Neurospora crassa OR74A: one gene and its partner. The main gene of each other region encodes a partner of the protein of the gene in region 2 in a complex. Links are inferred from orthologs where the notes say so. Each region holds a gene or a part of one and is shown on either strand. Other genes may lie near its edges.

Region 1 (3,750 bases), about 1.0 Mb from region 2:
TGTTCAATTTGTACTGTTCAGGGAGCACCACTATCACCAGGATATATCGCCCTTATCAGTGAGCCGCATCGTCCGGACCAGTGCCGTTTCTCTCTCCAACTGCACAATATGATTAGTATTGGGGTCCCAAAAAGCCACAAGAAAAGACTTACCATCCAGCGCAACAAGGAAACGGCTCACGCAGTTGTAGCAAGCGATCTAGTGAGTCGGTGTTAGCCCTTAAAACTTAGCTCACGACACGGCCTTTTGTTTGCCACCTTCCCGGACTCCTCGACCTTTAAAGGTCTCTCATATCTCACTCTCACCCACACCTCCCTCACCCTTTCCTTCTTCACTCGTCCGCATCTTTCCGAATTTCCCCCCTCATTATGACGACACAACCCATAAAAAACAGTACTCACAATCGCAGTCAACTCCACCACCTCCCTCTCGCTAAACAACTCTCTAACCCTCTCAAACGTCTCATCCCGCACCTTGACATTCCTCGTCATCTCATCCGTCAAGCACACCGCCGCCCACTGCCTCTCGTTCAACCCTCCCTTCTTCTGGTCCCCTTCCTCAATCAGCAGCGGTTCCTGCCTCTTGACCACGCCCAGACCATCCTCGCCCTCGCTGACGCCCGCCTGAACGGCCAGGGGCGCATGGTGGTGCCACTCGTACCAGGCGCCGTTGCAGACGGCCACGCGGGAAATGGCTAGCTCGCGCTCGTCGGCGGGAAGAAGGGTTTGCGTGCGGATGGCGCCCAGGAAGGAGTTCCAGCCGTCGGCGACGGGCGGGGAGTGGAGCAGGGTCAGGTCCAAGGGTTGGAGGGGACGGGGGGCGCGGCGGGCGGTGATGCGGTCGACGATGGCTTGTTCGGCGTCCGAAGAGGTGGGTGGGGGGTTGGGGATGTAGGGGAGACGCATTTTGGTGGGTGGGGTGGTGGTGAGTGATCTGGTGGTGTTGGTGAGTGGTGACGACGGAAGTCGTGTAAGTCGTGTGTAAGAGGATGATAGCCGGTGTGGTAGTGAACTACGGAAGAGATGTTTGAGGGAGATGGACATTGAGTGTAAGATGCAGAAGGGAAGAATAGAAAGAAGAATACGGATAGAATGAAATACAAGCTTGATGACTTGACAGCTGCAATGCACGAGTACTGTGGTAGTATCATCGGCTTGTTGAAGCCGGTGACGCAGGTCCGTACCTGGGGGCCGGCGGTCGGCAGCGGGGGTTGCGGGGAATCTCTTGCCCGCCTGTCTGCCGCTCGGAAGGAGGGGTCGGCAAGTGGACGTGGGCCCGGAGCATCAACGTCAACAACTAAGCCAGCTGATGCGAGGTACCGGCCTGAATATCACAACCTGATCGTCAAAAATATGCGGTTGGATGTTCGAACACCGAGGTATATGTCTTTGACTTCAAATCTCATCATTCGGACTGGCCGTGAACGCTATGATTGTCTAGCCGCTTGGCCGTTGAGGAACATTTGGTCTCATTTGATGCTCTGAAACAGATTCGGCAAATACAATGGGAGATAATATCGCAGTCCGAAGCCGCAGATCCTCCAGATAGTGGACAGGTGAAGACAACCTCACAGATGGACAAAGACTTGGATCGGTTTGTCCTTGCGCAGAAAATCTGGCGCCTGTTTCGGAGTGAGTATCTCCCCTAAGTGACTTTTTGTTGTTGTCAACATATGAAGAACAGTGAAGTTTCAGGAGACGGTAACGATGTGACATTTGTGCAAGTCGAGTAGTTGATCAACGTTGATCTCGAAATATTGGTCAGAGTCGAGATCACTCACCAATCGGCCGCTCATGTGTTGTTGATTCAGCGGCACAGTGTTAACAATATTGCCCTGTGCTTACCTACCCTGTGTGGAGCTCTTAAGTTGTGAAAGCTTGGCACTTTTCCTTTCCCAGCAACAATGTCCGGTGCCCCTCTGCCCCTCCAGCGCAATGTTTGGCAGACAAGGAAGCCCACTGCCGCCAAAACAAAAGTTCGCGATAATCAAACACAGCCCAGGGCACAACGACACAACCTAACCGAAGCGCAACAAACCTCACCAGATACTACCACTCAATCGCACACCCAGCCCTTTACGACGTTGTCAACAACAACAAGTCTGCCAGATTGATGGACCCCTCTCCTCAATCACCCCCCACCAAAAAGCGCAAAATGGCGACCTCAACCTCAACTTCTACCGCCGCCCCCGCGGTTGTCGAAGAACACCAATTCCCCCTCCCGCCGATCCTCACCCACCCCTCCGCCGCCCCTCCCACCCTCATCACACAAGGCGCCGAAGGCCGTCTCTACAAAACAACCTTCTTCTCTCCCGACATCCCCTGCGCACTCAAGTACCGACCCCCCAAGCCCTACCGGCACCCGGTTCTCGACGCCCGCCTGACCAAAGCCCGCCTCGCCTTCGAGGCCAAAGTCCTCGAGCGGTGCCGGCGCGAGGGCGTTCCCGTGCCTGCCGTGTACGCCCAGAACGCGGCGGCGGGCTGGATCGCGGTGGAATGGATTGAGGGTGCGCCGGTGCGAGTGAAGATCAACGAGTGGTTGGGGCAGAGGCCGAAGAATGAGGAGGAGGAAAGGTCAGCCGCGGAGCAAGATCAAGGACCGTTGATCGAGTTGATGAAGAGGATCGGGGCCGCGATAGCGGGGCTGCATAGGACGGGTGTGGTGCATGGAGATTTGACGACTAGTAATATGATGTTGAGGCCACACACGAACAAGACGACGAGTAGCGAGCAGACGAATGGAGTGAGCAAAGAAGAGGAAAAGGCCAAGTTGCTGGAGGGAGACGTGGTGATCATTGACTTTGGCTTGGCGAACCAGAGCCAGTCGGACGAAGACCGGGCGACGGATTTGTATGTCCTCGAGAGGGCGTTCGCGAGCACACACCCCCGGGCGGAGAACCTGTTTGAGCACTTGCTGGAGTCATACAAGCAGAGCTTCAAGAAGGGAGCGTCTGTGTTACATAAGTTGGAGGATGTGAGGATGCGTGGGAGGAAGAGGAGCATGATTGGGTAATGGTCAACACCTTTTTTTGGCGACAACAAGGCGAGAAAAGATACCCATGGATTTATACACATACAAGAACAGTTTTGCTATAATGATGAGTTGGAACAGCGGAGCTCGCGCGCTGGAAAGGAAAGTGAAGTTGCAATACATTCATGCAAATCGAAACGCCATTTTCATAAGCAACGAAGACAACGAACGCAATTGGTATTAATATCAATAGAATCAGAATGCCTGCTTGCCTGCCTGGCCACCCGTCCCATCCAAAAACTCCCTTGGACCCAGCTACACAATATGCAGCAGCTATATAGGTCGGTTTTGTATGCGGTTCTATTACCCCCCCAAGTATTTTAGAGCGAGTGCCTCAGTTCAACTCGGCACCGGCAAAGTATCCCTTATTCTCAATCACGCCCCTATTCTTCACCACAGCCGTGTACTTAATCACCCATTGTGGCGTGAGGTTTCCCGTCAAGCCGCCGCTGCCCGTCGCTGGGTCAGCCAGAAGCCCAGCACCCTGCGGGCCCAGGAGTTCCCTCAGCGTTCCCTCGGGCAAGATGTCCGTGCAATCGCTATGCACCAACAACTCCACATTTTGTTCCTTAGCCAGCGTCGCCAGCGGCGGCGGCACGTTGCAGCAGTTCTTGAGGTTGATTTGGTCCACCGCCGGCGGGATTGCCACGCGCTTAATGAACCGCGCCAGCTTCTCGGTGCCAAACTCGGATATGCCTAGCCTTTTCACCAGTCCCTGGC
Region 2 (5,174 bases):
CAGTCTGCAAGATGTCTCGTACCTGACCAGGCCGCCGCGACTACCTCTGCCGATCGAGGAAGAGGTCCACACACCCGGATCGCCTATCATTGCCCCGACCGACATTGGGGTCCCACTCGAGGATGCCGACACTTTCACCGCGCTCACCAGACGCTCTTCCAACTTGAGTAACAGCTCAACTCTGGACGAAGAAGACACGGAGGAGCTACGGGTGGACAAGACTAGACCGACTGTCCCCACCAGGCTCGAATGGCTCCGTGGCGGCGAGAAGGTTTACGTGACAGGCACCATCTTCCAATGGAACAGGAAGACACGATTACACCCGGTGTAAGTACTTTCTACATCCCGGCCACTTTCGCTCTCAATACGGATGGGGCCTTGCTGACACCGCTACTCGCCAACAGTGAGGGCCGACCGGGTGTATTCGCTGCTATTATCAATATCCTGCCGGGCACACATCACGTTCGCTTTCTGGTTGACGGGCAAATGCAGACCTCGCCAGACTTGCCGACCACGGTAGACTTTGGCAACAACCTGGTCAACTACATCGAGGTCAGCCCTGATGATGTGGGGCGCACCGCTGCCCAGGCAGCTGCTGCAAGCGCCGCCAAGGATTCCCAGCAACCTACGGAGCCCAAAACCTCCGCGTCCGAGACGGAGGAAAGCAAGGCACCTAGGGACCGACCTGTCCCTCCGGCGGAGCTGTTCGAGAACAAGATCCCGCAATATCTACTCGACTTCGACGCACCCGAGGAAAGTCCACCTTACCTGAGTGCTGTCAACGCCATCGAGAAACTCCCAACGCCGCCTGCGCTTCCTGGCTTCCTCGGCAAGCCCATCCTCAACGCGGCCACCTTGATCAAGGATGACAACAGCGTTCTGAACATGCCCAACCATACCGTTCTTAACCATCTAGCTACTAGCAGTATTAAGAATAATATTCTGGCTGTGTCGGCCACGACGAGATACAAGAACAAGGTTCGTCTCCCCGTATTTCGTAGCTGCATCTTTTTGCACGTAGTCGTTGATGCTAACGGACTGTACAGTATGTGACGACAATCATGTACAAGCCAACAACGACAGAGGGCATCTGAGTTTGGAATGCTAGTAGTCAGAGCTGGGTACAGTTGGCTGGTGGCTACCACTACTAGACGAACAGCGCAAGTCATGAGTAGAATAGCGGTGCATGATGAACCGCCCAGTATGACCTATTCTAGATATGTCTACAAGTAATGTCTATAGGACGCTGTAGCGATGACGAGGACACTTTATGGAAGCGGGCGCAAATTGTTGTCGGCAAACTGTCCATGGGCATCCTGCTCCATTAAGGGGGCACTAAGGGACAACAAGAGGCGCATATAGAGTGGCTGCCGTGGATAGAGTAAAGGTTATGGGATTTGGGGGTATCGTCGTAATGGTCATCTTCGTCTTCGTTTCCTTCCTTGTCATTAGTCCCTCCACTTGACGAAGACTTCGTCGGTTCTGAAGCGTTGTGTACATGTGCTTTCATCAAGCGGCGTCCGGAAGCCCGTCTCGTAGGCCAATAGACCAGCATGAGCAATCATGATGCCGTTGTCGATGCAGAACCGCTCGTCGGTGGCGTAGACACTTCCGCCTCGCTCCGCTGCCATCGCGCCCATCATCTCCTGTAGCCGCTCGTTGCAACCGACACCGCCAACAATAAGAACCTGGTTGCTACCGACGTGCGCCATAGCCCGCTCGGTGATCTCGACAAGCATGGCAAATACCGTTTCCTGCAAGCTGAAGCACAGATCTGCGGGTGTAAACGGTTCGCCGTCGGGGCCCGGCTCGCCCGCCTTCATCTGCGCCGCCAAGTCATCTGCCCGCCCCAGGATTCCGCTGAACGAGCAATCCATTCCCTTGACCGCATACGGCAAGTCCAACAAGACTCGCCCACCTTGCTTGGCCAGCTGCTCAATATTGTACCCGGGCGCCGGGTCGTTGCTGATCTCCAGCGTGCGCGCGAACCGGTCCAGGCAATTACCCACTGCAATATCCAGCGTCTCGCCAAAGATACGGTACCGCTGCTCCGCGTACGCAATCACCTGCGTATTACCCCCGCTCACGTACAGCACCACCGGGTTCGACGCCCCCGTTATCGCCCGCCCCATCTCGATATGCCCGACACAGTGGTTCACGCCCACCAATTCTTTACCCCACAGCAGCGCGAGTGTGCGGGCGCCCACGGCCACCGACGTTAGGGGCCCGCCCATCCCGGGCCCCTTGGTGTAGCAGATGCAGTCGATTTCCGAGATGGAGACCCCCGACAAGGCGAGCGCCTTCTTGGCTACACGCACAAAGTAGGCACGGTGGTGTCGGGCTGTGTCCTTGGGAAGGAAACCGGTGCCGGGAGGAGAGACGAAGGTGTCGCGCACGTTGGACAGGACAAGGGCTTCGCCGGTGATGGGGTCGTGCGCAATGATGCCGATGCCGAGCTTGTTGGCGGAGCCTTCGCATCCGAGAGCGATGCGGCGGCCTTTGGCGTCGGGCATTGTTGGCTGTTGGGGCTTTGTTGGATAGAGCGAGGGAGGGAGAGGGTTTCGGTTACTTGGTGAATCGGGAGCCGGTTGCTTCGTATCAGATAACTCGCAAGGATATTTCGTTGGGGATGTTTATCGAGGACCTTGATATCCTTTGGTTGTTGATAGGCGTCGCGTCGCGTACTGAATAGGATGGATGGATGGATGTTGTCAGTGCCACATCCAATGCCAGATGTCAGATGGAGAAAGTGATAATGGAGGGGCACCTTTTTAGAGTGGGGAAAATTTCGTCGCGTCTGTGAATACCTAGGCTAGGCGCGCCGTAGTGATCAAGGTGACGAAACTCGAGATCGAGATGAAAGAGGATGTACATACTTATTCCCCCAGCGGGCCGGTATCCCGTCTCCTAAAACCGGTCGACATGTTCACTACTTGTAACGATGCTTTAAAGCCATTCTCGCCCGTTGTTCTTCTCAAAACAAGGGAACGGCCTCGCCATGGGAATCAGCAATGGGATTTCGTCAGAGCCTTCCATGGAGTCGATGAGGGGTTCAATGAAATGTGGGTCCCCGCAGCCGCTTGTGCACAGTCGAGTGGGACCTTTATGTTGCTTTGGATGCGCAATGCAATGTTATGTAAGGCAGGCACGTAGCGTGGCTCGTGCGCTAGTAGTAGCAACGATTTCTATCCACATATAGCCGCAACGGCGCAAACTGTGACCATGGATGCATGAGTTGTGTAAAAGACACTAGAAGTTTGATTATTTCTAGCTTTTTCGCCATGAGCTGATCCAACAGTTCCATTGCAACAAATATGTGCAGATGAGCTTACGTGATTTGACTTGCTCTGTGGAAGTGCAAAAAGGCTCCGAGCAGTTCGGGGTCTGCCGAGCCTGGGCTTGGGGCTCTCTGCACGGGACCCCACTGCACCGAGAATCAATTCTCCCAGCCAAGCGAGAGTCCGCAGCCGTCCAACCATCTTCCATCCTCCGAGCCTGTATCACCCAACACCTCACCTCGTTGCCGCCAAACCCAAACCTCCCAACCGCACGGCCAGACCTGCCTCTTTCAACAGCCCAGCCGACTTCTTCCTTGTCTTCACCATCCTTTGCCTGCCATTTCTTCGGCAGAACATGGCCGGGCTGCTTCTTGTTCGGTTCTTGCAAGCTTTCGAGCTCACGGGGCCGTCTGGGCCGGATTGGAGGCCGTGAATTCAGCACCGCCCCAAGTCTATGGGGATGGAGATACCCATATTCCCTCTTGAGGTGTGTTTTCCTCGTTCGTCTGACTTCAGAATGCTGCTTTGGCCATCTTTTTGTCTCGCACAACCCGTCTGATGTGGGCTTGATATGTCCGGTACCGTTGTGGGTGAACCTAGGCTGACCAGAACTCTGCACCACAGGACCACCCACCACCCATGGAAAGCTGTTCACTCGACACCTCCATTCTGTCTTCCACCTTCTTTGGACATCGCTTCTTCTTCCGCCTTTCCAAGTCTTTGGGAAATGCTGTTGTGGGCTGCTGGCTTCATGGTTCAAAATCACGAACCTCGCCACCAAGTCAGCAAAGCTGGCCTCCAGTCAGCCAGCCAGCCAACCATTGCTGCTCGGTGATCCCACTCTAGAGCGCCCTCGAACTCTCCTGCTCGAGTTTTCACCAACGTCAAAATCGCGGATTACCAGATCGGAATGTCCCTTTTTGCAAGGCATCTTCGGTTCCGGAAAACCGGCGATCAGCAGTTCTGCCAGAAGCCAGGGTCCTGCACCAAAAGGAGCAGCGGTCTCGACTCCGAAGCCTGGCAACGGAAGACTCGACGTCCAAGCCAGCATCGATATCGTAACGACCGGTCAATTTCTCTCTGCTCGAGTTTTCTCTTTCTCAGCTTTTTTTCCACCTACGTACCTAGCGAGACCTCTTTCTTTGAGGCGTCCCCACTCTTTTATCACCAAGCACGCTGCACGGTCGCTCCGAAAGCCAAAGGGGCGACCCCCGTCTCTACGCTAAGCAGCGACCCGGTCTACCAGGGGCGCGAGGGAACACCTTTTTCTCTTTCTCGACACTTTTGTCGTCCTCCCAACTTCCTGTCTTCTTGTGAAGCGTCCTGTGTCGGACCGCAGCTCGATTGCTGGTTTCCTATTGGCCCACCCGGTTCGCAAATTCTCGCACACCTCCGACCAATTCGCACATCGGCCCAGGGCAGCACCGTGTGTTACCTAAGCCCAAATGTGGCACATGCATACGCTCGCAGCACTTGTCTCGGGGCTGCCGATGACCAAACGCTCGGAACATCTCTGAGATCATTCCTGCTTTCCCCTGGGCAACAACCTCGCGGACGCACCCGGTCTATAAGGCTTCGTTCGCCCTCCAGGCTTTCCAGAAGCGAAGATGCCTTGACAGACATCGAGACCAGCCTCCACGCTTGATGGCCATAGCCACTTTCGTGGTTCAGTCACACTGCACAATACAACACCGCGTGAAGCAACTGATGGGAGCCAGAAGTGGTATTTTACTGCTTTGGTATCTCATTACTGTTGTCGCTGCACAGCTTCTCGCGTGTCTCAGCTATCCGCCGCCATCTACACGATATCGGTACGACTACTTGTTTACATATATACATGAGCCGTTCCCCACTTCGCCAAACCTACGCAAAAGCCGCAACCCAAACGCCTCGCCC

What was found. The genes of interacting proteins can lie anywhere in the genome.
Region 1: NCU03836 (region 2) and prk-11 share a complex: the UniProt entries of both Saccharomyces cerevisiae proteins name them as parts of the EKC/KEOPS complex. The link is inferred for Neurospora crassa OR74A from reciprocal best matches to the Saccharomyces cerevisiae genes KAE1 and BUD32.

The regions. Positions count from the first base shown.
Region 1 is NC_026505.1:1,568,733-1,572,482, reverse strand, and holds prk-11 (serine/threonine-protein kinase BUD32), read left to right. Parts: upstream 1-1,970; 5' UTR 1,971-2,112; coding exon 2,113-3,012; 3' UTR 3,013-3,250; downstream 3,251-3,750. Other genes in the region: NCU04594 (4-carboxymuconolactone decarboxylase), read right to left, coding at 56-99, 153-198, 402-1,043; NCU04596 (gamma-cysteine synthetase regulatory subunit), read right to left, coding at 3,365-3,750. UniProt on the Saccharomyces cerevisiae protein: Component of the EKC/KEOPS complex that is required for the formation of a threonylcarbamoyl group on adenosine at position 37 (t(6)A37) in tRNAs that read codons beginning with adenine.
Region 2 is NC_026505.1:2,566,890-2,572,063, reverse strand, and holds NCU03836 (O-sialoglycoprotein endopeptidase), read right to left. Parts: upstream 3,041-5,174; 5' UTR 2,768-3,040; intron 2,685-2,767; 5' UTR 2,514-2,684; coding exon 1,449-2,513; 3' UTR 1,168-1,448; downstream 1-1,167. Other genes in the region: NCU03837 (Snf1 kinase complex beta-subunit Gal83), read left to right, coding at 1-327, 405-978, 1,047-1,094; NCU03835 (hypothetical protein), read right to left, coding at 3,186-3,249, 3,333-3,424, 3,517-3,833, 4,049-4,100. UniProt on the Saccharomyces cerevisiae protein: Component of the EKC/KEOPS complex that is required for the formation of a threonylcarbamoyl group on adenosine at position 37 (t(6)A37) in tRNAs that read codons beginning with adenine.